Linked DNA regions of Arabidopsis thaliana. The protein of the gene in region 1 interacts with the protein of each later gene in a biochemical or structural test. Each region holds a gene or a part of one and is shown on either strand. Other genes may lie near its edges.

What was found.
Region 2: of the proteins of ATMPK8 (region 1) and TRY, one has a biochemical effect on the other in vitro, tested with the Arabidopsis thaliana proteins (one large-scale study listed by BioGRID).
Region 3: of the proteins of ATMPK8 (region 1) and AGL75, one has a biochemical effect on the other in vitro, tested with the Arabidopsis thaliana proteins (one large-scale study listed by BioGRID).
Region 4: of the proteins of ATMPK8 (region 1) and TCP11, one has a biochemical effect on the other in vitro, tested with the Arabidopsis thaliana proteins (one large-scale study listed by BioGRID).

The regions. Positions count from the first base shown.
Region 1 is NC_003070.9:6,242,715-6,251,713, forward strand, and holds ATMPK8 (Protein kinase superfamily protein), read right to left. Parts: upstream 5,099-8,999; 5' UTR 4,952-5,098; exon of another isoform or gene 4,878-4,951; 5' UTR 4,869-4,877; coding exon 4,602-4,868; intron 4,375-4,601; coding exon 3,972-4,374; intron 3,880-3,971; coding exon 3,752-3,879; intron 3,650-3,751; coding exon 3,590-3,649; intron 3,432-3,589; coding exon 3,282-3,431; intron 3,170-3,281; coding exon 3,014-3,169; intron 2,923-3,013; coding exon 2,785-2,922; intron 2,671-2,784; coding exon 2,597-2,670; intron 2,510-2,596; coding exon 2,393-2,509; intron 2,303-2,392; coding exon 2,104-2,302; intron 2,005-2,103; coding exon 1,927-2,004; 3' UTR 1,584-1,926; downstream 1-1,583. Other genes in the region: AT1G18160 (Protein kinase superfamily protein), read left to right, coding at 6,412-6,900, 7,057-7,497, 7,723-7,826, 8,179-8,999. UniProt on the Arabidopsis thaliana protein: MKK3-MPK8 and CAMs-MPK8 modules negatively regulates ROS accumulation through controlling expression of the RBOHD gene during wounding.
Region 2 is NC_003076.8:21,579,301-21,586,408, reverse strand, and holds TRY (Homeodomain-like superfamily protein), read right to left. Parts: upstream 3,796-7,108; 5' UTR 3,497-3,795; coding exon 3,433-3,496; intron 3,140-3,432; coding exon 3,052-3,139; intron 2,618-3,051; coding exon 2,449-2,617; 3' UTR 2,166-2,448; downstream 1-2,165. UniProt on the Arabidopsis thaliana protein: Transcription factor. Involved in epidermal cell fate specification. Negative regulator of trichome development, including endoreplication, by lateral inhibition involving intercellular interactions.
Region 3 is NC_003076.8:16,487,291-16,493,803, reverse strand, and holds AGL75 (AGAMOUS-like 75), read right to left. Parts: upstream 3,261-6,513; coding exon 2,268-3,260; downstream 1-2,267. Other genes in the region: GSTT1 (glutathione S-transferase THETA 1), read left to right, coding at 87-160, 321-381, 470-523, 592-671, 751-956, 1,060-1,254; AT5G41190 (RNA-binding NOB1-like protein), read left to right, coding at 3,792-4,110, 4,242-5,292, 5,412-5,580, 5,823-5,942, 6,027-6,176. UniProt on the Arabidopsis thaliana protein: Probable transcription factor that may function in the maintenance of the proper function of the central cell in pollen tube attraction.
Region 4 is NC_003076.8:2,677,278-2,684,462, forward strand, and holds TCP11 (TCP family transcription factor), read left to right. Parts: upstream 1-3,123; 5' UTR 3,124-3,550; coding exon 3,551-4,270; 3' UTR 4,271-4,716; downstream 4,717-7,185. Other genes in the region: AT5G08320 (E2F-associated phosphoprotein), read left to right, coding at 318-483, 1,071-1,326; ATSTE14B (Isoprenylcysteine carboxyl methyltransferase (ICMT) family), read left to right, coding at 5,735-6,328; AT5G08340 (Nucleotidylyl transferase superfamily protein), read left to right, coding at 6,624-6,868, 7,012-7,064. UniProt on the Arabidopsis thaliana protein: Transcription factor involved in the regulation of the circadian clock. Acts as a repressor of CCA1 by binding to its promoter. No binding to the LHY promoter.

The DNA.
Region 1 (8,999 bases):
AAAAAGAAACACATGCATGTAAAATTGGTTACGTAAAAAGTTATGTGTACTTTAGTAGATATTTATTCAGGATTTGTGGGGTAAATTTAACTTTCACATGAAAAACGTGTATGATATATATGTCCAAATTAATGTCCTTTTCTTTTTTAACGTTTTCTGTTGTGATTAAGAAGTGTTTACAAAGTCGGAAAATAAACCCAAAATTCCCTTATATTATAATTGGGTTCAAGCGTCATCTGCAAACAATTTTTTATTAAAAGAATTTGTTAGAGTTTCCGTTTGGTGCATTATGGTTACCATATATATAAAAAATTCACATTATCTGTTTCTGTAACAATAAAGTATGGGACGAAAGTATATAATCTCTTCTTAAACCAGAGATCAAAACATGTTGTTTATATAAATGGAATTATAGGCTTTGTAGTTAATTCCGCTTATTAAATCTTCGTACTGATAATATGGAAATTTGAAGTCCACATTAGTGATATATAGATGTATGATGGAATACTTTTAAAAAGTCTTATATTAGGAAAATCATTGAAACTTTATGGTCGATAAAGTGATGTGATCTGTGCATGGGTTGGTGCGAGCCATCGAAGAGAACAAATAATAGGACGAAATTGCAAACTGTTTTAAACCTGATAAAAAATATATGAATTACATACTACAAATGCAAGTCTCCTTTTTCATTCGTAAATAGAACACAACTCATAAACTGATGCTTTGCAAAAATTTAACATGGATTTAAAATGCAAAATGATTCCTATGAAAACAAAAAGAAAATGTGTGAGCTCCAATGATATAGAGGAGTCGAAAATAAAACTATAAATGGATGTGAATCTTCAGCATGTTTAAGACCACAAACCGTTTTATGAGAACAAAAAATATGTAGTTTGAACCGATTTTCTTTTCACTGGCGATTAGAAAAGACTTGTAATATAACTTTTCTTCGGACATTTTAACTTCCAATTTTATTAGTCAAGAGTTTTGTGACAATCTTCCTTTACGATCCTATAGTTTACATGAAACCAACTTTTTCTTTAATTTATATTTGTAGTGGTCATAATTTGAAGTCAAATTCCAAAGTTTGGCGGCATGATCCATTAGTATAATGTTAGTTTTTTTTCACTTTTAAACATGCACAAATTCAATTAGTATTTCTACTAAATAATGTAAAAACAGTGTAGCCTAATTGCTTTAACCAATCTGGCGTCTGTGGACTTTGTTCGCCATATATACATCAACTTTTTGCAGTTTCTTTTTCTTATCGAGACTGTAGTTTGGAGTTGGTGAGTAAGCTCCCTGGAGCTCACTTTACTCGACCATACCATTATTTCTGACCTCTTTTTCAAAAACCCGATTTTGTTCATTTTTTTTCTTCTTCTTTTTGTCGTTTTATTTATTTTATTTTGTCGTTATGAGATTAGTCCAAGAATGGTATCAATTCAGATGGACCATGGAATATAAATAATAGATATTAGGTTAGTCTTCGTCATTAAAAAGCCAACTAACACAGCATTATTATTATGTGTGCTAATTTTTTAGTCTTATCTTTTTTACTTTTAAGAAGTCGAGTATGTTCTTCAGGTTAATATAATTTATTATATAAGACCCAATATCCCGGTTTGACCTGGACCGGATCATACCAATCACACAAACTCTCCCAAAGTACTGAAGCAAAGTGAATACTGAATAGTATATAAATAATTTCAAAATATGAGTGTTTAAAGAAAAGAGAGAAACAAAAAAATTACATGGAGATCGATGTTTTTATTTAAAGTTTCATCAAACCCCCAAAACTATTAAATACAACAAATCAAACCCAACCACGAAGATAGATGTGGATGAATGGAGAAACCAATTTCTTTTCACCAGAAAACTTTCGTGAAAAAAGAAAAGAAAAGAAAAAAAATAACTAAATCATTTTTAAGAATTGTGAAGAGAAGCAACTTTATCAGTAAGCTCTGCAACTGTTTCATTATCTTCTTCCTCAGCTATGGTATCCTGCAAACAAAGAGAAAAGAACAACAGTAAGCAAACTTCATCGTCATGTTCCTTTTCAAGATCTTCTGTTTTTCTTTCTTTCTTTCTTTACTAACTAACCTCTTTGTCAGTTTTAGATTGGACACCAATGCATTTAGAACCGCTGATGCTTGCACTCTTCATGAGGTTACGAGCACTGTAACCTCCTCCATTGTCTGCTTCCTCGGATTCCAAGGTTGAAGCCACAGCAGCTGCTGCTCTTCTCTCAACATCACTGCTTTCTTCTGCAGTTTCACCATTTGGAGCAGGAACTCTCTCTCTGCAACATCATCATAGAGAAGCACAATGCTCTCAGAGGGAGATTGAGAAGAGAAGAGAAGAGATAGAGAGATTCTGTGAAAGACATTACCTTGGCAAGGAAGCATGATGTCTGTGAAGTGCAGTACTTCTTCCTCCTCCTGCTGCTCCTGGTTTACCTTGATTTTCTTCAAGATGAGCAAATTGCCTTTTAAATCGGTCTACCCCACTGCGCGTAAACAACAAAAAGATTTATCGAGTTCATAACTTTCTGTTTTCAAGACTTATAGTTTCTGTTAACTGTTAATTAGCTAACCTTGGGTACATAAAGCTAAGCTGATCACCACCACGAAGGTATTCCTCCAACATCTGAGGATGATATTCCAATATCTGATATTTACAAAATCCAAAGAAAAGTGATTGTTAGGATCAATGAATAACATTGAAACAAATTCAGATTAAAGAAAAGGATATATGTAGAAGGCTTTTGTGTTTGTTTGTTACCTCTCGGTAAATTAATTCTCTGACATCATCTTTAACTAACTTCTTTCTCTCAAAGTCAAATTCAAGCTTTGAAATTGGCTGTGTTGTTGGTTCACGCTCTGAATTTGACAAACCACTGAAATATGGATCAGCTAGTGCCTGTAATATGAAAATCAAAAACGACGAATATAAGAGTTTCGTTCTGTATAAAACAAAAGGGAAAAGTAAAGCAAATTTACTTCTCACTTACATCTTCAGCTGATGCACGATCTTTCGGATCAAAGGCAAGCAGGCGTTCCAGAAGGCGGAGAGCCAAAGGATCAGCTTTAGGGAATTTATGAGAGAAAGGGACTGGTTGTTTTTTCCTCATGCTGCTAAGATATCTCCTCGCCTTTTCATTTCTAATCTGTAGAAGTCCAAGATTGCAAAGCTCATTACAAGGATTAAATTACTCTCAATGATGTATGGAACATTAAATTTGCTACAGAAAATATGAACAAGTGTTTTGAGTGACTAACCCTTGATATTGACTCAGGAGGTGGAGTACCAAGAAAGTCAGTCATTAGATCCAATTGGTGCACAACGTTTTTCCCGGGAAACAAAGGCTTACCCAAAAGCATTTCCGCAAAAATGCAACCGACACTCCAGATATCAATCGCAGGGGTATACTGAAATATAACAAGAGTAGACTTAGCTTGAGATGGCTGGTCTTCTCAACAACACTATAGAACCACACAACAATATTCTACAAAATAGAAAACTAGAAGCATTTTCCTGGTAGGGAGAAATAGCAAGAGTAGTTGGGTTTGGTGAAAAAGAATCTTACTTTGGAGAAAAACGATCCACAGAGTTCAGGGGCACGATACCACCGAGTAGCTACATAATCCTACAAAATCCATATAAACGAAATGAGCTCACAAGCATTTGAAAATAGTTAAGAGGAAGCCTAATGAACAGTTTTGCTTTCACATTGAGTTAGATGACTCACAGTCCAAAATATAGCGGTTGGGGCATCGTTAAAAGAAACGCGAGCCAGCCCAAAATCACAGATCTTCAATTTGCAATCAGCATTAGCTAGAATGTTCTTCGGTTTCAAATCCCGATGAAACACATTAGCTGAAAACAGAGAACCCTTAAGTGTTTCAATATTATCTATAACAAAAATCATGAGGATCGAAAGAGACCAATGTGTAAAACCAGAAACTAACCTGCGTGAACATATTTCAGACCACGAAGAAGCTGGTACAAGAAAAACTGATAATGCTCAGGAGTCAAATCATCATTCGCCTTGATCACTTGATGAAGATCAGATTCCATCAACTCAAAGACAACATAAATATCGCGGAATTCTCTGCGAGAAGGAGGTAACATGATGTGTTTAATCTCCACAACATCAGGATGACGAAGCAACCGAAGCAATTTGATCTCTCTGAGAATCCTAGTAGCATCGGAGACATGCTCAAACACATCGTTGATCTTCTTGATCGCAACTCTCTCTCCAGTGTGTGAGTCAACAGCAGAAGCCACAACACCATAACTTCCTTTGCCAACAACCTCTTGAATCTGATACCTGTTAGCTTCTCCATACTCCGTGAAGAATTCAGTTTCACCCTGAAGAATTTTATTCATGATTCATACTTAAAATTGACCAAAATGATGGATCAAGACAATAAGATCAATCAAACGAAACACAAAACTGAAACTTTATCCTTTTGTGGAAGCAAATGCAATAACACAGAACATTAAGAGAACAAAACAAGTCTCTTCAATCTCAATCAAAAGACAACATCTAAGAGCAAATAGCATAAAAGGGTAGAGAAGGAGAAGAAGAAAGGTACCTTCTTGTGAGGATCCATAGGTAAATGATTACGTTTAGGAACGTTAATAAGCGTTAGACCAGAGAAATCGAGATCTTCTTCAATAATAAGCTCTCCAGAGTTAGCGGAATGATTGGGGTTAGAGGAAGAAGAGAAAGAAGAAGAATTGAAAATGGGTTGTTCGTGATTATTATTATTATTGTTGGAAGAAGAAGAAGAAGAAGAAGAAGAAGGTCGCTGAAAAAGCCATCGACGAACACCGTCGACGAGATTCCCACCACCACCCATAGACCACTACTAGATTAGAAAAGAAAAAGATTAGTAATTTACAAAATTGGGTATCCGAAATTCCTTGAGAGCCAAACAATTACCGTCAAGTCACCGTCTTTCTCGCCGCGTCTCTCGGTTTTGTCCTTCGGAGTTGGAGACCATGTTCTTCTCCTATTTTTTCATTTTTTTTTTAATTTTCTTTTTATGTTTTTTTCATTATTTATGCTCAGATATTTATTTTTTTCCCCTGCTTGATTATTAGAGAGAGTGAGTGGAGGGAGAAGAACAAAATATTTAAACCTTTGGAATATTTCGACGACCCGGTTTGTCTATACCGGTTAATGATAACCTGATTCGGGCATATGCATTTATTGAGTATATGGGCCTACAAAGCGGCCCATACAATAAATGTATTTTCGTTCAATCACTAAACGGATTAAACTCAACCGGACAAGGTTCGAAATTAAGAAGATGTTAGATGTTACATTACAAACCGGAATTAAAAGTCTAATTATGAATCTGAGACACAAAAAAAGAGAGAGTAAAAACGCCTTGCTCGTTCGGTCGCGTTGATGATATGAACATATATTTCATCATGAGCTGAGCAGGTCCAGGAGTCTGTTGCGGTTCGAGCACATCATAGTTATTGGGTCATAAATGAATCCGACAGTAGCGTAATCTAAGCATTTTTTAGTGAATAATACGCTTGATGATATATGTGATATGTCATGGGAGGATAATGCATAAGGTGGTGAGCGAAGCATTTTTTCAGCCAAAAAGACAAAATTTTATTTGAATAAATGATATCAAACAAATCCAGATACGCGAAGGAATATTGAATATGGAAAGCACGATCGTAAACAATTCTGCGATTTATCATTTCTTATTTTTTTTAACAAAATGTACGGTTTTGCATGATATATTTGCATTAAAAATGAATTGGTAAGTTTTTAAATAGCTCTATATTTGCATTAAGCTTTGACTGATTGTACAAAAAATAGAGTAATTTTTTAATTACAGTAGCAAAAAAAAGCAAAACAAAATTCAATTCTCTCCAGCTCAAAAATCCACTCTTCATCCTCTACTATACTCGTATCTATCTATCTACTCTACTCTGTTTTACGTAAGTTTTTTTTAGTTGATTTTCTTTTGTCGGACTTTAAGAGAGAGAAAGTGGCGTCTTTGTGGACTTTCTCAATTCAGGAGAGAGTCAAAGAGAAGGAAGAGGCTTCGCTTACTTGCTGAGAAAAAAGCTCCAAACTTTCTCTTATTGGGTTTTTGATCAGCTCCGGAGATAAAAAAAAAAAGTATTTTCTTGAAATCGAAATCTGATCTCCATTGAGAGTCTTGCTACTTGATTTGGATTCCGATTTAAGGTTTTCTCGAGAATTCTTTTGCTGCAGTTATTAGATTTTGACGAGCCGTTGATCTGGACGGAGTTCCAGATCTCCGGGTCGTGGTACCAAGGAATTAGGGTTTTAGCACAAAGTTCTCGTTTTTCTGTGTATTCGAGGGATGAAGGAGTTTTCGGGTCGATGTTCGCTGCTCTAACATTTGGAGTATGAAGATGAACATGAAGAAATTTCTCAAAAAGCTTCGTATCACGCCCAATCAACGAGACGATGGTGAAGGTTCAGTCTCTAACAGAAGCAATAAGTCTAGTGATGCAGAACCATCTCCTTCTGATTCATTGAGGTCTCAAGATAACTCTGAATTCAAACCCTTTTTGGGTTTATCAAATTGGTTAAGCTCTGTTACTCACAGGAAAAGCCCTTCTTCTTCCAATGCCACCAATAGCAAAGAGGATGACACTACCATGGAACATGGTGGTCCCGTTGGGTCGGAATCTGGGATGCAGGGTTTGGGTTCTAGTAGTAATTCCAAGGATCCAGAAGTTGAAGAAGAATATCAGATACAGTTGGCTCTAGAGTTAAGTGCTAGGGAGGATCCTGAAGCTGCTCAGATTGAGGCTATGAAGCAGTTCAGCTTAGGTTCTCGTCCTTCTGCTCCCGAGAATACTCCAGCTGAACTCATGGCATATAGATATTGGGTGAGTTTTTAACTCATTGCTAGACATAGAAACAAATTTCCAATTCACTTAAGCGACAATAGACTATGCTTGAAACAAAATGTGTTAAGTTGATTATAAGTTTATAACTCTTTTCTGTCTCTTCTAACCAATTTTACATCATCTGGAATTTTGCAGAATTATAACTGTCTTGGCTATGATGACAAGATTGTGGATGGTTTCTATGACCTGTGTGGAGTAATGAATGAATCTTCCTTAAAAAGAATACCTCCCTTAGTTGATCTTCAGGGGACACTTGTGTCAGATGGTGTAACTTGGGATGCTGTTCTAGTGAACAGCAGCAAAGATTCTAATCTGTTGAGACTTGAACAAATGGCTCTTGATATTGCAGCAAAATCAAAGTCAGCGTCTTCTTCAGGGTTTGTGAACAGTGAATTGGTAAGGCAACTGGCAGTTTTAGTTGCTGATTACATGGGTGGACCAGTTTTGGATCCAGATAGCACGTTAAGAGCTTGGTGGAGTCTGAGCTACAGCTTGAAAGCAACCCTCCGTAGCATGGTTCTGCCCCTGGGTTCTCTAACTATTGGATTGGCTCGTCATCGTGCCTTGTTATTCAAAGTATGTACCATGCCCTCATTCACTTTTGCTTTCTGTGAAAATTAGCATAAGAGGGGTATTTTTTGTGATCGCATGACTGTTAAAGCTTCTTGCAGTTTGGTGAATGTTTGAAATTGTGTTCAAAATTGCCCCTGTTTCTCTGACTATATTTATTACATACAAAGCGTATGGCACCTCTAAACGCTTTGTGGTGTTTTGTTTCTTCTTTCTTATGAGACTTTGTAGGTTTTGTGTGATAGTGTCGGCGTTCCTTGTCGAATAGTCAAAGGACAGCAATATACCGGTTCAGATGATGTGGCAATGAACTCCATTAAGACTGATGATGGCAGGTGACTTTCAAATTAAATTCAATCGCTGTGTAATTTTAACAATTTCTCTATCATTTGGAGAGAAAATATATATATATATTGTCACCAAATGTGTGCGTGTAAAAAATGAAACTATGTGCATATGGACTTGGGGTGTGTGTGCTATTTATAGCTAACTCACATCTCTGAAAAGGTTAGAGCAAATACTGAGGCTTGATAAAAGTGTAACTTTCTTTGGTCTAAGCAACAATACTCTTTAGAAATGAAAGTACGATTAAGCATGTTTCATGCTTTGTACAGTGGTTCTTTCTATTGTTATTGCAGTCTGCAGTTGCAAATTATTTTCCTTAACGAATCCAAATGTGAATTTCAGGGAGTACATTGTTGATCTCATGGGAGATCCAGGCACGCTTATCCCCGCTGATGCAGCTGGACTACAAATGGACTTTGATGATTCTGTCTACTCTGCCAGTCCCAGAGATGTTGATTCATCTCATGTAGCTTCTTCCAGCAGTGGGGTCGAGAGCTCAATTGAAGAACACACAGAATCTTGGTCAGCGGAACATCGTTCTAGGACCAAGGGTTCCCGGGAGGAAAACCAATCTGCAGGTGGAGGGGATCTCATGATTCCAAATATTAGGGAAGCTGTGGGAAGTCAAAAGGCTCCTGTTCAACATCTTTCCAGCAAGCCTACTCATTCTTTCACTCATGCCAGATCACCTTCGTGGACTGAAGGTGTTAGCTCTCCAGCTGGACGCAGGATGAAAGTCAAAGATGTTTCACAATATATGATTGATGCTGCCAAAGAGAATCCACAACTAGCTCAGAAGCTTCATGATGTGTTACTTGAAAGTGGAGTTGTAGCTCCTCGAAATTTATTTTCGGAAGTCTATTCAGAGTCAATGGAGGCAACAGGTGAAATCAAATCTGTGGCTGAATCCAATGATGAGAAAGGGAAAGATTTTGGAACAATCCAGCAAGGAAGAAACCAGAGCAACCTTGGCCCTGTGAGGTTTTTGCCTCCTCTTCCAAGACCGCAATCTAAAGCAATTACCCATGACCTACGTGAACATTCAGGATCTGGACTCGGTCATTTGTCTGAACATTGCAATATTGATGGTCACTCTGATTCCTCACATTCTGAAACATCTACTGACTATCCCAGAAATGTTCCTGTTGCCGTAGCTGCAGCGG
Region 2 (7,108 bases), on another chromosome or scaffold:
GATTATCAGCTTCATAACAGCCATCGTCATGTTTACTTTCTTTTAAATTTTAGAATTTAGACGTACTCCTACCATGTAATTTTATTTCTGTCATTACATCAAGCATTGTAGCTGTAATTGCATATGAATGAACAATAGTGTATGAGTGATCTCATGAATAATATTCTTCTTGCAACACAAAATGTTAAGGGATATATTTTTTTGTAAATAGAAAGAATGATTCTACATGCCGCAGCAAATGTTCTGAAAATCAAAAGAGTGGATGTTAAAAAAAAAAAAAAACTAAAATGATTGTACCTTTTATAAACTCTTAAAAGATGTTCTTTTTGGGTGAAAGTATGGATTATTTTGTCTCAAAAAAAGAATTATGTAAATATATACACATTTATATTGTATATATATATATATTTGTGTAAGAACTAATTTAAATGTCTCGTTTCACATTTTATCAGTAGAATCATATTTTACATCATGTTTGGGATGTGAGAAAATGTTTAATTGTTGTTATGCAACTATGCAAGGCAAGTCTGTGCACAAACTAATTTGGAATATGCAACTTAAACCACAATAAATTCGGATTTTACACAAACTAAGCTTATAATAAAATTATAGCCATGCTCATATTTTTTTGTAGATGTTGCATCCAATCTCAACATTTAGATGCAACATCGAATCATCCATGTTCAACATCAACATATTGTTGGGTTTAAAACTTTTGACTGTGAAACTTCGTGTGGCTGGTTTAGAGATCAACCAAACCCCAAAACTGATGGTGGTGAATATCCCTAGCTATTCAAATTGTAGTTTGTAGATATCCGATTTTTTTTTTTTTTCCGTCACTTTGTAGATATCCGAATTATCAATACATTCTCTGAAATGGATAGTCCTAACGCAGTGTATCCACTACTGGTGAACTTACAACTGGGCTGTAAAAACTGAAATTGGGCATTTTTTATCGGCCCATAGTTTTACCTTTACTTGTATTGGTCGAGTGACGTTGATAATCTGTCGTACCTTGTTAAATAATGGGCTAAAATAATTGGGACACTATTGGGCCTAAAAGCTTTAACTAAGATTGTGATTTGTGAGTTTATGTGAAACGACATATAGCTGAAGAATTGAATCGTTTGGTTCGTAATCATGAAAATCATATAATGGAAAATTCTATCCGTTAAATCCTGTCCATGAAAAGTTAGTTTTAGACGCAAACCGTCCGTTCATTAGTCGTTTACCAATGAGAATCACGTTTTTTAAATAGACGTTTAGGATGATCTCATATAGTACTTTTTATCGTGTTGGTAGAAAGTTTTCAAACTGATAATTTTTTGTATGAAAGGCAATACTATATATAGATTCTTTATTTCTTAAAACGTTTATAGAAAAATTAAGTTCATACTTCATACTTCATAGTCCTACATATATATAGCTAGTGCAAGCATGTAACACCTAATATTTAAGTGATTGTGAAAATAAGTGTTCATAACTTTTGGTTAGAATTGGATCGGGGTTTTTATTTTAGTTACATTTTTTTTAAAGTATAGATACATTATGTCATTAATTCTGTAATAATTTTTTTAAGTAGTTTCTTCAAAATATACTAGTCAACTATAACTAATGGAGTATTTCTTTTTTTTTTTTTACTATTTAAAATTATTGTCATTAGTTAAAATATTACCCAACCATTTTTGCACAAATGATCAGTTTCCTCTTGATAAGTTCTTTCAAAGGACTAAATCTAATACACAATTTTTTTTACTTTCTAATTACTGATGTATTAGAGAATATAAAATATATTAGAGAATATAAAATATAAAATGTTACTATATATAAAATTAAACTATAAAATATAAATGTATTAGAGAATGATACAATTTGTAAAACTTTTATATGTAATAAATAATTCTCAAATTTTTAAAATTACTACTTTAAAAATAAATCACGGGATGGGTAAAGAAATTACAGAACAGATTTTATTTTGGAATTGAGTTATATGGTGGATGTATTTGAATCAATATTTATAAATTTTTAAAATATTATTAATATGCTGTTTTAGTAAGGGTTAAAACTTCAGTTTTTTAACAATTGTCTCATGGATTCGTTGTATAGCGTTACTTAATAACAATTATAAACTGTAAAATAAAAATATTTTATAAAAATAAAATTTGCAAGTTTTAATATATATTAACTTTAAAAAGTAAATTATACCGCGATATACCGCGGATTAAAATCTAGTTGTGGATATAAAAGTCGTAGACGAGAAAATAAAAAAACCTAACCGCATGGATTAAAGTTGATTACCAAATGAAACCTATACTATAAAAATTATAAATGAAATAACAACAAAAAGAAAACAATAGATGATGAATTCTTCAAACTAACAAGAACCACTACTATACATCTATTATAATTTTTTTATTTTCTTTTTTCGTTGGCTTAAAAACAAAAACACTAGGAAGGATAGATAGAAAAGCGAGGACGGTGAGGCTTGGTATGTTTGTGGGAAGATGAGTGAAGCTGGCGTCGTTTATCAGCAAAGCCTTCACTGTTTCTCATTATCCAATATCTCTCTATCTCCTCTGGTTGTCTTCCAGGAACTCTTCCTGCTATCAAATCCCACCTAATTCAAAAGAAAAAAAAAAACATTTTTATCCCAAGCATTAGCATTTATATTTTCATAATAAAATATAATTTGTCAGTTCAAAAATTTCCATTTTTGAGCCAGCCAAGCATTTATATACATGAGTACGTACTGATAAGAATAGTAAATTAGGTTCTTATTTTTATCTCTATATATATGTGTGTACATATATAATTTAATGAACGTGATAGCTTTAATTAAATGTCTTTTTTTAGAAAATTAGTGGACACCATGTGCTTCCCCTACAACATGGTACACTGTACATATGTTATAAAGTACATATGCTTAAATTAACGTATGTAAAATTGTATATACCTGCATATTAAATTGTTTTAGCTAGACATGTCTAAAATATAAAATTTATTTTATGCTGGGATAATCTTAGAAAAAGTAGAAGAAGAAGAAATTGTTACCTATCACCGACAAGTCTGTACATTCGAAAGATGAGATCTTCTTCTTGTTCAGTCATGTTGATAAACTCCCATTCGATACTGCTCACTTCTGCAAATAACAATATTAAACCAATTAAACTCAAAACAATATTAAACTAACAAAAAAAGACAAATATAAACTTTTTAAAAAGATATTAATTTTTGTTAAAACTAGAAACTAATCTTGATAAGTCTTTTAGTCAGCACGAGGTGTAACTAATTTAGAAGTAATTAAACGTATCCCTCGTTTTAACGAATATATACAAAGAGAATATGATCCTAGCTAGGAACTAAATTTATTTTCAAGATGTTTAATAAAATTGGATTTAGGAAATAGAAAATATATAGAGAATAGAGAGGTACCTTCAGAGTCATGGAGGGCGATTTTGTGTTGCTTACGACGGCGACGACGGTCAGTGTTATCCATTACTATTGAAGTAAGAAAAGAAAAATAGAGAGAAATTAATGTGATGAAATTTTGAGTTTGGAGAATGTAAGGAAAAAAAGACGTGAGAGATGAGAGTTTATAGAGCGAACAAGAAGAAGAAGAGGGGAGGAGAGAGAAGGAAATGTCCAACGAACGGCCTTTGCAAAACTAATAGTAAGAAGTGTTGTGTGGTCTTGTTGACCTCTTACCCTTTGTGTAGACTTGTCGTTGACACTCAAATACACATGGAGATGAAGTCTTTTATTGGGATTTGTAAGTATTTTGAAGGCTAACTTTGTTCTCATTCGTAGATCCTAACAATTTTTTTTTTCCATTTATTCAATTTTTCTAAACCTACTATCTTTTTAGAATAATGGGATTTATTGATTTTTATTTGGCAGATGCAAGTTCAACGATGTTTTAGTTATTGATTTGTTGTTGTTCTTTCCATTTTTGTATTCAAGTCCAATTTGTATTTCTAAGAAAATTAGTTGTTATTAGGTTATTAGTTTTTCAAGTTTTTTTTTCAGGGTTGGACATACACACCAAACCGTACCGAATAAAAATTCTTGAACCAAAAATAAACTTATTTTTTTTTCCATATAGTAACAAATTAGTTTCACTATATACACTAAAATGAATCTAATTCGAACCTTAATCTAGTGCATGAAAATGAAACAAAATCTAATCGATCAAATTTATTAAAATTGTCCATTGTGTTTGTTATTAAACGCTATGTTTGAGCCAAAACACATACATATTTTGATAGTCATCATTGTCACTACAATTAGTTATTTTATTTTGATAGTTATTATAATGTAGGAATAAGTTAGATATCTTACAACTTTACTTAAAAGATAACGTCACCCAATATAAAACATGGGAATAATATTTATATCAATATATATAGAAAATACTTTTTAATATATTAATTAGATAGTTATTTATATTATTTTATTAATATTTTAAATAAACCAAACTAAAATTTATTTTAATTTAGAGAAATATTATTAAAATCGAAAAAACCAAACAAAACGGAAAATCGAAGGCCTATACCTAATATTCCCACTTAATATAGTACGTATGTTAATTAATTCATTAATCAACATGTTCATATTTTCATTCGTTATACAAGAAGTCTCATTCCCGATTGACTTTTCTTTCATCTCCACGAAGAGGTTGAAACAGAAATTTTTTGGCACAATAAAAAACATGATTCAGATTTTATCCCAAAATCACACAATGTTTTTAATATAATAATTCCACTTCTCCGAATAATTTAACATTTTAACCCCTGTTTTTTAATTCTACATTTGACATATGTTTTAATTCTAGAACAGTGACTAAGACATTACATACGACGCTGTATGGCAACTCCTTACACACGCGATTTAATGAGTGCTTCTGGAGAAATTCAATCTCTCACACATGATACAACCAAAATCCCTGATTTGCGTTTTCTTCGAAATATTTAAATCTATTATAAATCTGAATCGACCCATTAAACTAACGTATTTAATTCGAGTGAGAAACATCATATATAAAGTACGCTTCTCAATAAATTTTGTAAGAAAGTATACAATTACTATCATATTCTCACGAAAGAGATTTTCAAAATATAAAGTACCCTACCAGATAATTCATAATTGGATAAAAGATTAAACGGAAGAAATCTGTAGTCTACGGCGAAAGACATCGTGTGAGGCGAGTCATGTGATGTATATCGCATCATCCTCATTGCATAGAAACTGTGTATTATGTGATAGATTTGGAATTTTTTTAATAGGAAGCCTAGTTGGTAAAATATCTCTTTACTCGAAGCTTAAATACAATATAGCAATATAAATGATTTTCATAAACTTTTGATAAACAAATCAATTCGATATCGAAGAATGCATCAATGAAAATGTGTCTTTAGTTTGGAGCTAAAAGAACGAAATTGGTTTGCATAGCTAAACTAATGTCTAAAATTCTGGTACAAAAGGACAAAGATGTGATTACCTTTTCTATTATTTGATTATATCAACAACAACAAAGATGTGACATGTTGCCTCCTAGAAAGATTTTTCATAATAGCAATCACTATCCATTTCTCTTTCCACTTTAATTAAAATTAAAACTCTTGTACAAATTATTCTTTTTGGTTGAACAATAAATTTGATATTACACAAGAAAAGAAGATAGATTACTCGTAAAAGAACTGCTATTAAGGAATATTTTTGTAGTTAATAAGAAAGTTATAAGAGAAAGAAAAGAAATATTGAACCGATTTGAAACATGGTTGCAGCTGTTGGTAGATCAATTCAACTAACATTCTTAGGCCTAAATAAACATATATTTATTTGTAACGTATCGAATGATTACACATATTATACGAGTGCCCCCATACATGCATGTATATAGGAGTATTTTATATTTTATTAAACCTGGGTCATTAAAATATTAATTTAAACCCCACAAAGTAAAAGCTCGAATCAAATAATAAAACTTGTTGAACTGTAGATGTTTTGATTGGTTAACAACATTGTTGACAACATTTAAGGTGGTCCAATGAATGTTTCTGCTGCTTTCAGTTGGAAAAGCGTTATATACGAATTGAGTATATTCACTTAACCGCTTACACTCTTATGCAACATATGAGTATTTGCGGTTTTTAACAAGATGGAAAACGTGATATTTTAGAAGATGATAAGGTTTCTTCACTACATGACTATATATGAGTGAGTAGCCCCATCCACAAACAACATATGAAGTAAATTTATATTTGACTAACATTTAATAGGTCATAGAGTTATGAGAAATGAGGAGACGATGTAGTTTATTTCTTTTAGACTCGAATCGAATGAGGTGTGAAATTCCTTCTTCTTCTATTTTGTTCTATCGTATTTGTGAGTTGTTCTGGTTTTTTGGATCGATACGTTTTCATCCAGGGTAATTTTTTTTGTTGTTTTTGTATGAATGTTTGAATTTGATATATTGAGTTTTTGTTCTTATATTGATAATTTGTCATAGTTTGACATAGTTAAAATTTATAATAAATACTAATAAAAAATGAATCCATTAATGTATTTTAAAATTTTCAACAACATAAAGTTTAGTTGTCAAGAGATTGATTGATTGAATATCGATAGTATTTGACTTTTAGTTTAATATATTTTTAAAATGCATGTACGTATGTCAATTTTCAACACATGAATTAATGTAACATAATCTAATAAATTTTGATTAACTTATAAAAATAGAAAACAAATTCTAGACCAAACTTCGATTGGTCAGAGTTTGCCAGTCCTTAACACGTACTGTATTAGATTCAGTCCTTACTATCTCCTCTCGCTTTTTATTATGTAATATAATGATACAAACTTGAGGGAGAACAAAAAAAATCTAAAAATACGGCTTATCTCACAAATTATGATTATGGATATATACATAACAAAATTAAAATAGTAGCATATCGACGTTTCGAGTAAACGTCTGACTTTCTAAACTAAGACTTCAACTAATTCATTCGTTAACTTTGACCATCTCATTCTTTGACCAAGCTTAATCATGAAACTCAACATTAAAAACAAAATAATATAAATACTCTAGAGAAAGTTAAGTACGTACCCA
Region 3 (6,513 bases), on another chromosome or scaffold:
ACTTCCTTGTTAATTCCAGATTCAGCCAATTTTGTTTTCTCTAATACATGAGAATCTTTGTTTTGTTTGGATTTTATCCTTTGCAGGGTTAATGGAATCCAATTCGATGAGGTCTTGATTTCCTTGGCGAAGCGTCAACAATTATCTCCTGAATTCAAAGGTTCGTACAAATAATCAACAAAGTTTCAAATCTGAGTATTGGTAGATTTATGTTTAGTGTATATGAGATCATTAGTGTAGATTAGTGTAGACTAAGGCTATATATGCTTAGTGTTGTTTCTTAATGTAAATATTGTTAAGAAATGTGTCTTGTTCTTCAGATATTAACCCATTGGGGAAAGTTCCAGCTATTGTTGATGGCAGGCTTAAGCTCTTTGAGAGGTTAACACAAAAGTTCATTCTCTTTTGGGTTCTTGCTTTGGTTTATTGACCATTTTTTATGAATCTTAACCGTTGATTCTTTTCGTAGTCACGCAATCCTGATATATCTATCCTCGGCGTTTCCAAGTGTTGCTGATCATTGGTAAGTTTCTACTTCGTTTGACACAAAGTGTAATCATTTTGCTTTGATGTTCATTTGTTTACTTTTAGGTATCCAAATGATCTATCCAAAAGAGCCAAGATTCACTCAGTTTTGGATTGGCATCACACCAATTTACGTCGTGGTGCAGGTATTGTACATTATATTCATCGATGTTGAGAAGTTATAGAGTCAAATAGTTCTGATTACGGTTGTTTTTACTGTTGCAGCTGGATATGTTCTGAATAGTGTACTAGGTCCAGCTCTCGGTCTTCCTCTGAATCCGAAAGCAGCTGCTGAAGCTGAGCAGTTACTAACAAAGTCTCTGTCCACTCTAGAGACTTTTTGGCTTAAGGGCAATGCTAAATTCTTGCTCGGAAGCAACCAACCATCTATAGCTGATCTCAGCCTTGTATGCGAACTTATGCAGCTGCAGGTACTCACTTAATTTCACTGTTTTGTGCGTTTTTTTAATTCATCGAAATACCAATCCTTGCTATGTTTTGGCTTTTGATTGTAAAATTTATGCAATTTTGTAGGTTTTGGATGACAAAGATCGTCTTAGATTGCTCAGCACTCATAAGAAAGTTGAACAATGGATTGAGAATACGAAAAAAGCAACAATGCCTCACTTTGATGAGACCCATGAGATCCTTTTCAAAGTCAAAGAAGGATTCCAGAAGCGGCGAGAGATGGGAACCTTATCTAAACCGGGTCTTCAATCCAAGATCTAAGAACTTAGAACAAAACTTTGGCAAAACCGGTTTCAGGGGTCAGTCACTGGTTCGTTGAAGAAAAGCCGATTATCTCCTATTCTCCATTGTAAGAAAAATAAGGAATGTAATAATCACTTGTTTTTTGAACTATATGTAATAATCACTTTATCAAAGGTTTTTACCGAACCCGAGCATTTTGAACATCACAACATGAAGGTTTAGATTTATATGTAAATTATAGTTGAACCAGCTCGCAGTTTGTGCTGTCCATCTCACTGGCTTACTTCCTTTGGGCCTTAGACTGTTAGGATCGTTTTTAGCTGGTAAAGGTCGAGAAAAGTGGGTAGCTGCACTGCTAAAACTCAAAGGAAAGCAAGGTGGAAATATAATGGAAGTATGGAAACTTATGGAACCATCAGGAGATAGAGGCCAAGAGGGGTGGGAAACTGCAGCTGACATAATGGAAGGGGAGGGACTATCACAAGATAAAGGTCAAGAGGAGAGGGAAGTTGCTGCAGAGTGCAGACATTATGGTAGGGAAGGAATCATCATCACAAGACAAAAAATAACAGTAGTGTGAAGAGTCACCTGCACAATTTATCTTTAAGCTTGCAAACATTAGTGTCCAAACACCACCCCCACCCCCCCCCCCACCCCACCCCCACACACTGTTCTCATGTTTACTGAAACTGTAATGCTTATGTTGTTCCGTTTAATAAACATGCGATGATTATTATTTCTTAGAACAGAGAATCACTGAAACAGGTTTGAAAAGAGAGGATGTTATATCTGTGAATAGAAAAGACAAAGACAAAGTGGAGGAATCAGAACTCAGCCACGGTTATTGCTCTGTTGAGAGTCTATTGGAAATTTGGCTTTATTATGATAGAGAGCAATCAGAAATAGATAAAATTGGCTTTTAGTAATTAATGTTTCTAGGGATGATGATTCAAATTTATTACAATAGCTGAATACAGATCAACAACAACACATCAAATTGATTCAAGATGTTCTTAATAAATCATAAGAATTTAACAAAAGCCTGCATAACCGTAACCGTAAAGTTCATTCTGCATTAACTGATTCAACCAGGGGTTCTTCACAGATTCTTCTACCGCCGAGTAATGTTGTGTGTTTGAGACGCAAGGATTTTGAAAGCTGTTGCTATTGATGTTACCCATAGACATGTTTTGATCACAACCATAAAACTCCTTGTACATCAATTGATTCAACCCAAAGTTGTTGACAGATTCTTGTACCGCTTCTTTGTTTGAGACGCAAGGATCTTGAAATTTGTTGTTTGTGATGTCACCCATGCTCATGTTCTGATTCTGATCATAACCACAAATCTCCGGCTTCATTAACTGATTCTTCAACTCAGATTCTTCAAGTAACGCTGAGAAATAATCCTGATTGAAATTTGATGCAGAGACTGGGATCTGAGACAGAGTATTGTCTCCATGGTTATACATAAACAGCGAGAACTGGCTAGGGTTCAAAGATTGGGTGTAATGATTCAGAGAGGATGGTGTTAAACTCTGATGATCCGGTTTTGTCTGATTCTGTTTCTGCGACTCAAGAAATCGAAGCCTTTCTTGGAATTTAGAGACATGGAGTTCCAAGGACTGAATCAGTGGAGAAACTTGGTCGGGAGGGTAATGATCAGCGAGTGGATACTTTAAAATATTCACGTTCTTAAGACTCGTCTTCATCTTCTTGTTCGGATTCTTCAAACCCTTGTTCTTCTTCTTGTTCAGGAACCCATGAAGATTAACGCTTTTCTTGCGTCTCAATGCTTCGTTCAATAGACTATACCTAAGAGCAATGTCTCTCACTTTCTCTTTCTCCTTAGGCCATGTCTTAAGTTCTCCGTCTGGTCCGTAATAGATAACGCAGGCTTCGATATCACAAAGAGTGCAAAGCTCTGAAGCTTTCTTGAAGATGGTCTCAAGCCTATTGCTCAAACTTGTGAAAGCGAGTGAATAAGAAGAAGAGGACGAAGGTGAAGATGATCGCATAGTCATCTTCTTGTTGATTGCAAAGACAAACTCTGTGTTTTTTCACGCTCAAAGTTAAGAGAAAGCACGAAGACAAACTTTGGCTTTGTGAAAAAGATGATGAACTATGAAATAGTTAGAAAGAATTAGATATATTTATAGATGATCGGTGATAAAAAAACGCGTAAAGATGTGTGCATAGATAGATTCGTTTCGATTTCCATATATTTGCATAGATTCGATTTCCATAGATTTTACGTTCTAGAGCCGTTAAGGGTTGATAAAAAGGAAACACAACTATAATTTGATATCATTAACCCTTGATATGATCTAGTTTGGTTTGGTTAATACTAGTCTTCAAATTCTAGCTCTAATCAGATAGTATTTTATACATCTACGCAATTATTTGGGCCTTGTGAGGCCCATTTAAAATTATGGACAAAAAGCGACGTCGTCTCGGATCTGACCTAGGTTTTTGTTTACACTCTTCTTCTTCTCTCCATCTCTCAGTCTCTTCGTTAAACCCACCCACATTTGAAGCGGCAAATAACGAAAACCATGGATCCGAAACCAACCTCGATGTGGAGCTCAATTGTGAAGAAAGATCCACCTTCAAAGCCTCCGGTTAACGACGGAGCTCCGGCAGCGATTCTCGGGATGGTCGGAAACTGCAAATCCACAAAAGGAATATCTATTGCGGTTGTTGACGCCAACGCCATCATTGAAGGACGTCAGAGCTTAACAAACTTCGCCGACAAATTCGTAACTGTCCCTGAGGTTCTCTCTGAGATTCGTGACCCTGCTTCTCGCCGTCGTCTCGCTTTCATCCCTTTCACTATTGATACCATGGAACCTTCTCCTGAATCTCTAAGTAAAGGTACACTTATTAGTTTTGTGATTCTTATTCTTGTGATTGTGAAATTTGTACCTAAGTAGGTATTTGTATATTCTTGTGTTGGAGAAAAGATTGTATTGTATCTCTGAGATTGATTGTTTTTGGTTCTGCAGTTATCAAATTTGCAAGAGCTACTGGTGATTTGCAATCTCTGTCTGATGTTGATCTGAAGTTGATTGCTTTGTCATACACGCTTGAGGCTCAGGTTTATGGCACCAAAAATCTTAGAGATGTTCCTCCACCGATTCAAACTGTTAGAGTTAAGAGATTACCTGAGAAGGATTTACCTGGTTGGGGCTCCAATGTGGCTAACTTGGAGGAGTGGGAGGCACTTGAAAACGAGACTGAGGAAAAATCCAACGCTAACTCCAAAATCCTTCCATTGAAAGACCTTAACATGAATATTATTGCTTCAGACAATGTTTCTGAGGTTGGTTCTGTTGTCTCTCATACTGAGAATCATGAAGAGGATGTGCAGGAAGGTGGGAAGAAGCATAGGCGATACCCGCCCAAGAAAACAGAGATTAAGCTTGAGGGTAAGATGGTAGTGGAGGGAGTTGATGCATCCCAGGGGCAATATGATGATGATGATGATGCTAGTGATTGGAGACCCGCAGTCAGTAGAAGTACTCACTCAAAGTATCTTAGAAGAAAGGCAAGGTGGGAACATTACAATGCTTTGGCTGAACAAGAAATTCAGAAAGATCAAGAAGCTGACAAAGCTCGACACACTAAAGAGGCCAATGAAACCCACGCAAAAGATAGTGGAAAGAATGGTGAGGATATATCTTCCATCCTTAAAGATATGAGGTTGGAGGAAGAGTCATTAAGGGCTCTCCAAGAAGAGACTGAAGAGACGAATGCTGAAGCAACTTTGATCAATGGTGAGGATGATATTGATCATGATATTGAAGTCGAAGCTGAGGGGATCGATGTTGCAAATCAAGCGCTAGAGAACTTGGAGATTGCTAGTGAGGCTGAGGATACCTTCGAGGCATCATCGATTGGAGATGATGGTAGCAGCGAGCAGAGTTGGTCATTGAGAGCTTTATCTGAGTCCAGTGTAGCTTGTATAACTGGTGACTATGCAATGCAGAATGTTATTCTTCAAATGGGTTTGCGATTGCTTGCACCCGGCGGAATGCAAATTCGCCAACTGCATAGGTACTCTAAATTGATCAGATCTTCCTTTTTTTTGTTCAAATGTCAGACACTTTTCTTTAGCAAGGGTCATTAACTGAAAAAGATACAATTCTTACACTTTATTGCATTGACATCTTCAGGTGGATCTTAAAATGCCATGCTTGCTACACAGTAACTCCTGAAATTGGAAGAATCTTCTGTCCCAAATGTGGGAATGGTGGCACTCTACGCAAGGTAGCGGTTACAATAGGCGCGAATGGCGCCATCATAGCTGCATGTAAACCACGAATTACACTTCGAGGGACCCAAGTAAGTAACTTGTTATAAGCAGAAGCTAACCAAAACACCAAAAATTCCTGTATTAGTGAAGAATCTTGTATTCTTTATTTGAAATAGCATGAGAACAGAACCACCATGTTTTCCGGCATGTATATGATCAATTTGTCATTTGTTACTGCCTTTAAACTTAAACCCTTGTTTCCTTTAAAATCTGCAACCTAATACACAGATAAAAACTTCTCCTGATACATGTGTCTTTTCTTTCTGTGCAGTATTCGATACCAATGCCTAAAGGAGGAAGAGAGGCAATCACCAAGAATCTGATTCTACGGGAAGATCAACTCCCTCAAAAGCTTCTCCACCCTAGGACCAAGAAGAAAGCAAGCAAACCGGTTAGTCTCTTCGTGTCTTCTATCTCAAACTCAAATCTGTAACTTTGATTGAAATCTTAAGGTAAATTATGCTGTTGTTTGCAGGGTGATGAGTACTTCGTATCAGATGATGTGTTCTTGAACCATCATAGTGATAGAAAGGCGCCATTGCAGCCTCCTGTGAGAAAAGCTATGTCGGTTTTCAGCCAGAAAAGAAACCCTAATGACAACCATTACTCTCGTTCTATGCACTGATCTTTGTTTCTCCTACACAACAAACATCTCCTGTACTTCAGATGCCAACGATTTTGTCTCTTTTTTGTACTTTTACTTTTTCTTTCTGATTGTTGTTTGAAGTCCAAAACTAGTTTGAAAAGGTGAGAGTTTATAACTTTTTATTCGGTTCACAGATGTATTCCTCTAGTTTCAAGCTACCTGTCATTTTTTTCTTTTTTGGCTCAACACAATTTCATTCGTCAAGAACTTGGTATACAAGATTACACCTCCAGTTTATTGGTATTAACAATAGACCGACCGTAACAACCTACCTGATAACTTATCCAAGGCATGGTCGGTGCTATCAAAACCGAAT
Region 4 (7,185 bases), on another chromosome or scaffold:
TCATAGGTTTCGGTTAATATGATCTCTCTTTTGCTTTTTTTGTCATCCATCGTATTGAGACCTTGAGCTATTTAGTATTTAGCTAAGTTTCTGAATCTTTATGGTGTAATTGATGTTGCTATTCGTAAGCTAATTGATGCCATAGATTGCGAAAAGAGAAGTTGTTTCTTCAGTATTCAAGAGATTTGTGTTCTTGTGTTCAAGTTTAGATTTCAAGTTATTTTGTAATAATGTGGAATCAGAAGGACAAGTATGTCTATTTTCTGTATATTGATTTGATGAGGCCTAACTTCTTCTTGTCTACTACCTTGTAACAGTTTCGGATGACGAGGAAGTTGATTACTCCATCAAACCGGAGTTCTATGATTCAGATATTGATGATAAAGATGAGCTTTGGATGGATAAGAAGAGAGATGGTCGTACTTCTGATGCTCTTCTTAGCTGTCCAGCTTGTTTCACCACTGTCTGCTTAGAGTGTCAGAGGTATTTTCCTCTCTCAACATCAGAACTTGGTGTTTTATCTTCATACGATTGTTATATCCCATCCAGGCTTTGCTTTCTCAATGTTGCTAGGGCTCCATTGTTCAATCCTCACCAATGTGTTTGCTAATATATTGATAGTAACTTGCTAGATTCTGGAATGTTGACTTGATTATGAGATTCTTGACAATTGTTACAGGCTCTAGGTTTTTGTTAGGAATGACAATCTTGGTAGAATCCAAACCAGTTATATGACTTGATTAACGAGAAAAATTTCTACTCTCAGTCCAATTCCCAATCCCAAAACCCATAGGTAAATCCAGAACTACCTTTTCTAGCTGCTAGCTCTGTAGCTAACTAACTCAAAGATTGCTGATACAACTACTATCCACTACACACCGCCTAGGCTATTACAACACTCATGCGATAGACTAATATAAGGACTTTATCACAATGGATTTCTTTCTTTCCTCTTCAATCCGATGATATTGTTTTGTTTATGACTTGATCCCTTTGCACTTCTTTGAACTTGGTTTTAGTATTATAAACTGCGGAACCAAATTAAGACAATCTGAGTAAAACTTTTGCAGGCACGAGCAGTATGTGACACAGTACAGAGCAGTCTTTGTGGTCAATTGCAAAGTAGGTACAGACACAGTTTTGCAACAGAATACAATGCCCTTAAAGGTTGGTAAAAGAAGGAGAGATTCCGAGATGCAAGAAACTGGTTCTGAAGATAGCGAAAAAGTTAACCCGGTCTTTTGCTCAGCTTGTTCCACAGAGATCGGAGTAGTTGACAGTGAAGAGATCTACCATTTCTTTAATGTCATTCCAAGCGAGCCTTAAAACAACCTGGTTTTATGAGTTATTTGTAACGAGTTCTAAACAGGTGATTAGGATTAAAGTTTCGATTGTTTGCGTTAATCTTTACGTTGCATGTATATCGTTTGATAAAAATCAAGTCACTAGAGAATTTTGAGTTATACCAAAGTCAGAATCGTTCACAGTTCACATGATTAGTAATTTAGTATCAAACAAATACCAAATACAACAAACTACAAAGCGAGTTGGTCTCTGAACGTCTTTTAGTCACGCTAGTCAAATAGATGGCAGAAGATAAAGCGATCCTCTCAGTTTAAAAAAACGAGATGACGTGGATTATTCTGATTGGTGGAGTAAGCTAAGAAAATCTAGAGAGGCATCGCCAAATGAGAAAACTAGAAAAGAAGATATTTGTATGAAACACGAGTTGATTCTCTTTTGACAGAAGTGTCACTTTCTTGTATTTTCGTCCACCAACCCCCATACTAATAATTCTATACAAATTCCCATTAATAAATAAAGGCAGATGAGAATGGGCTCCAGCTGTTTAACACATTTGACAATTGTCAAATGATTCGTACACATATTACTATTTTAAAATAAAATAAAAAGATTAGAATATACTATAAGCATTTTTGGTAAATTGGTGATCATTAAAAATTTCTATGCATTTATCCAGCTAACCCCACAACTAATCATTCAAATCCCAGTTAATCACTCAATATAACTTTTAACATGCGCCGGTCATTAATAATTGTCAATTGTATCATACAATTTGTATGTAAGCTTTTGTGGCAACGTTTTCTTTTAAGAACTAGCTAGTTCAATTGAATCCTAGCAAGTAGCTACGAAATGTGACTAAAATTTCTCTACGAGTCTCTAGTTTGGTGGTTCCTCAGCTGTGCGTCGTAGTTTCAAGTTTTTACTATCTATCATACTTTAAGCATGCACAAAAATATTCTTTTCATCGCTTTTGATAGCACCTTCACGTATTATATCGACAACTTTAAGAAGTTGGCTTGGGTATAGTTTTTAAAAAAAGGCATTTAAACATCACTCATGGTTGTATCGTATGGGTACGGCAATCATCATAACAATTATTTCTGTTAAAGGATTTCACAATCATATAACAAATATTAAGACGATAATATAGTATAATGTGCATTATATATTCATCATGAAAGAAATTATTGTCGCGAAACAATTTAAAAAATCTCGACGCAACGACATATCAAAATCGGCATATCTGCCAGGTGGGCACGGCTACTTTTATTATGCCACGCTCCAAATGGAATGATTTGTTTTATTATTGCTTAATGGGTAATAAGAATTTTGATTATACAAATTGCACACACGAACGCATATCGTGTGGGGGTCACAGTGGTTGGGTTATACTCAGATTAGTAACCTGTGTCATAAAGCGCGTAATTGTCATTTCTTTTATTTGAGCTATTTATTTATCCTAGAAGTTAAATAAAAAATAAAAAATAAGAGACAATCACAAATTAGTAGATGTGAAATTATAAATGACTAAAAATAAATAAATTAAAATCGTACAAAATAGAATCGTAATCAGTGTAGGTGTAAAGTATACTCACCAATCAATTACCACCATTGATTGTCTCTTATTCCTCATCTTTTCAACTATTGTGGAAACTGGAAACAGCTTTTGTCTTAATTGCAATCTAATTTCCCTACATCCTATAAAATGCATTAAACTCATGAGGTAAACGTGTATGATTACTGTGGTTACAAAGCATAAAACATATACTACTTCATTCTAAAACAAATTTTATCGATAAGAAATAAAGGTAAAAATCAGCATTGTTGTGGTTACATGTCACAGAAGTAATAAGAATTAGTAAAAACCAAAATCGAATTCATATTATTCTTGTAACGCTACTTATTTTCTACGAATCCTAATTACTCGTAAATTAGCTAATGTAATTCAAGCAACCATATAAATGGGGACCCCAACTAACTCCTAAACCTAAAAACTTAAATTCTCCTGCCCGACCGTGGTCCAACGCTATAGTCAACACCGGAGTCAAGCGCGTGAGCTTCAACCGCGTCCGGACAAATTAAAAAAACCTAGCAGAAGTGAGCTGTGTGGGACCCCACCAGCCATGTGCTCTCCTTCCTGTCTCCACCAGCCTAGCTTCCTCTCAAATCATTACCTCCTTCTTCTTCTTCTTCTTCTTCTTCTCCTCGAGAGAGAGTTAGATAGTGATAACGAAATCCTAATTCCATGGCCGACAACGACGGAGCAGTGAGTAACGGCATCATAGTCGAGCAGACGTCAAACAAAGGACCTCTTAACGCCGTTAAGAAACCACCGTCTAAAGATCGACACAGCAAAGTTGACGGAAGAGGAAGAAGGATTCGTATGCCAATCATTTGCGCAGCTCGAGTTTTTCAATTGACCAGAGAGTTAGGTCACAAGTCCGATGGTCAAACCATAGAGTGGCTTCTCCGTCAAGCTGAGCCTTCTATCATAGCCGCCACTGGAACTGGCACTACTCCGGCGAGTTTCTCCACTGCTTCTCTCTCCACTTCTTCTCCGTTTACTCTCGGGAAACGTGTCGTCAGAGCGGAGGAAGGAGAATCCGGCGGCGGAGGAGGAGGAGGGTTAACAGTGGGACACACAATGGGGACTTCGTTAATGGGTGGTGGTGGTTCTGGTGGGTTTTGGGCTGTTCCGGCGAGGCCGGATTTCGGACAAGTCTGGAGCTTTGCAACCGGAGCTCCACCGGAAATGGTTTTTGCGCAGCAGCAGCAACCAGCTACACTCTTCGTCCGCCACCAGCAGCAACAGCAAGCTTCCGCCGCCGCAGCAGCTGCAATGGGTGAGGCTTCAGCAGCTAGAGTTGGGAATTATCTTCCGGGTCATCATCTCAATTTGCTTGCTTCTTTGTCTGGTGGAGCTAACGGGTCGGGTCGGAGGGAAGACGACCACGAACCACGTTGAGAAATGGTATTGTCTTTTTGGTAATGTATAGAAAAATTCCTATGTTTTATGTCATCGAAAGTGTTTAGAAAGTACCTCTAATTTGCGGTTTCTTTTGCTCCTTTTTTACTTAATTTAAGCTTATTGCTTGTTTGATTAGGGTTTTAGGGTTTAAGAATATTTGGTCTCGTTAATTTGTTTCGGAGAGTGATAGAAAGAGAGAGAGATTGATTGATTGTTGTACCTAAAACGCTATAAAAGCTCTGTTTTTACTAGCGAAACAGAGAAGTCGTTTAACTAGTGATCATTGCCATTCAATCAAGTCTCTTTAGAAAACTAAAGAAACAGCAAAAGAAACAAATTTGAAGTTGTCCCGTTAGTTTTAAGCATGAATTCTATTATGGTTCGTTCGTTAATGAAGTTGTCCCACTATTTACTCTTTCGTAGTAAAGGAAACAAATTTGAACTCGGGTTAACGGAGCCGGTCCGGATGATAATTCAGGTTCCACCAAAAACTTTTAAAACTAATAACAAGCCCATCCACTATCCAGAGCAGTATAATCGTAAGCTTCAAACACAAAAGAAATACTTCAATTTAACTCATCGTTATCAGTTATAACCGGAACAAACCGATAGGGGACCATTGGATCAAACCGTCTCGAACCGGTAACCCTAAAATAGTCTGGTTCTTGAAATTTCGGTGATCCTGCAACGTTTCTTCTCATCGATTTTGACCGGAAGCTCCTTGATTCAAACAAGACTTTTCTTATCGGGGAAGATCAGACGGAACAGAAGAGATCTCTGTGTTTACAAAAGTAATTCCTTGATTATAGCAAGCAAAGAATAAAGGGTAAAGGTGTAGACTTTGCTTCTCTCCTTCAAAGTCCACGCGATTCTCACTGTCAGCCTCTGCGAAATTTCCAGTCTTTCTCGCATTTTCCCTCGTAGCAGCCGTCAATTTCAACTGGGTATGTCTTAGATCTTCGTAGCGTTTACGGTTCCTGCTCAATTCTTCGTTTCTCGTGGTTTGACAGTTGAGTTACAGAAAACGAGGACGAAAAGCCTAATTGAAGAAATTAGTGATTAGAATTTTGTGATTCCGTGAAATTTTAGTATTAGTAAGTATAGACAGAATAGAAAAAAATCCCGTACTATTCATCAGCTATACATATCTGTTTGTAATTCTTTGAGTAAGATCTTCAATTCTCATGTGAAAACTGTGTTTTGAATGCTTGTCATAGATCAATTGTTGGATTAAGAAACATTGTAGTTTAGTGTTAGAAGAACATTAATGTGAGATTTGTTACATTGATTGACATTAGTGTTCCTGTGATTTGGTTTTAAAAAATCTTTGGTGAAGTGAGTTGGATTGGATTTTACTTGAATGCTTGTTGTTTCCCATCTTTTGGCTAATGATGTTCTTTGACCTTCTCGGGTCTGTTACTCGCATGTTTTTTCAGGTCTAAGTAATCTTGTGAAGACTCAATGACAGAGATATTTAGTGACACCGGGTTCAGACAGTTAACTCAAATGTTCCTGGCGATAATCTTCTTCCACACATCGGAGTACATTCTCGCCATAGCCATTCACGGAGCATCGAAAGTAACTTTAAGCTCACTCTTAATCAGCAAACACTATGCTTTAGCAATGCTAATATCAGTCCTCGAGTACATAGCCGAGATTGTTTTCTTCCCGGGGCTGAAACAACACTGGTGGATCAGCAATTTCGGTCTTACAATGATCATACTTGGAGAAATCCTTCGCAAAACCGCGATAATCACAGCAGGTAGATCGTTCACACACCTTATAAAAATTCGCCGGGAGGAGCATCATAAGCTTGTGACAGAAGGAGTGTATCAAATCATGAGGCATCCGAGTTACTCCGGGTTTCTCATTTGGTCTGTGGGAACGCAAGTAATGCTCTGTAATCCAATTTCAGCGATTGCGTTTGCGGTTGTGGTGTGGCGGTTCTTTGCAGAGAGAATACCTTATGAGGAGCATTACTTGAAGCAATTTTTTGGGAGACAGTATGTGGAGTATGCGCAGAGAGTTCCTTCTGGTGTTCCTTTTGTAAACTGATCCTTAGATCAATTGTGAACATATACGAGCATTGTTTGATTACCTTTTACATAGAAAATTATGAAAGAGATGTTGTTACTCATGTTTTCAGTTAATGTTCTCTTGTCAATGTCTTTGTGTTTCTTTTTTTTTATTGCTAAATAATTTGGATATTATTCCAAAGACTCTGCCTGAGCCAGAGGTTTATGCTTATGAACATAAAATTTGACCACTGGGTTTTAAAAGTGATTTAGCTCCGGCGAAGAGTCTCTCCGTGAGAGCGAGCTTGTCCGATTTGTAAGCACGAGACGGAACCATGTTGTGCGGAGGCTCACGTGTCTTGCAGCATTTGTCCGACCACAATCATCATAATTCGATTGGTTTAGGATTAGGGTTTTGTGGTGCTAAGATTGTGCAGCTCTCTTCATTCTTTCTCAGGCCTTCTCAGGCTATGGCGAAGAGTCATCATTTCAGCCGTAAATTGCGTCAGCGGATGATTTCTTCATTTGGGTCTCATTGCAGAACATCCGGAGAAGTCCCAATTCTTCACAATTGTTTCAGGTTTTGTTTCTCTCCTTGATTTGGTATATCTGATTCTTAAGTGTCATTGTCGAGATTTATGTTTCTGGACTCGAAAGAGAGATCTTTAATTAATTCATCTGACTGATGTTAAATTCGGGGTCTTTTGCTTTCTTCTACTGAAGCCAACGAGAAGATGATCCTGAGCTTCCAGTTGAAGGGTTATCTCCAGTGTCAGGTATCTATCTAGCTTGCTTGTTTCTTGCATCTTCATTCAATTTCCTAAGAAAAGTCACACCTTTCTACTCTTTGATGGGGATTTTGTGGTTACTGTGCGGTTCCTTTCCTTTTGGAAAGAG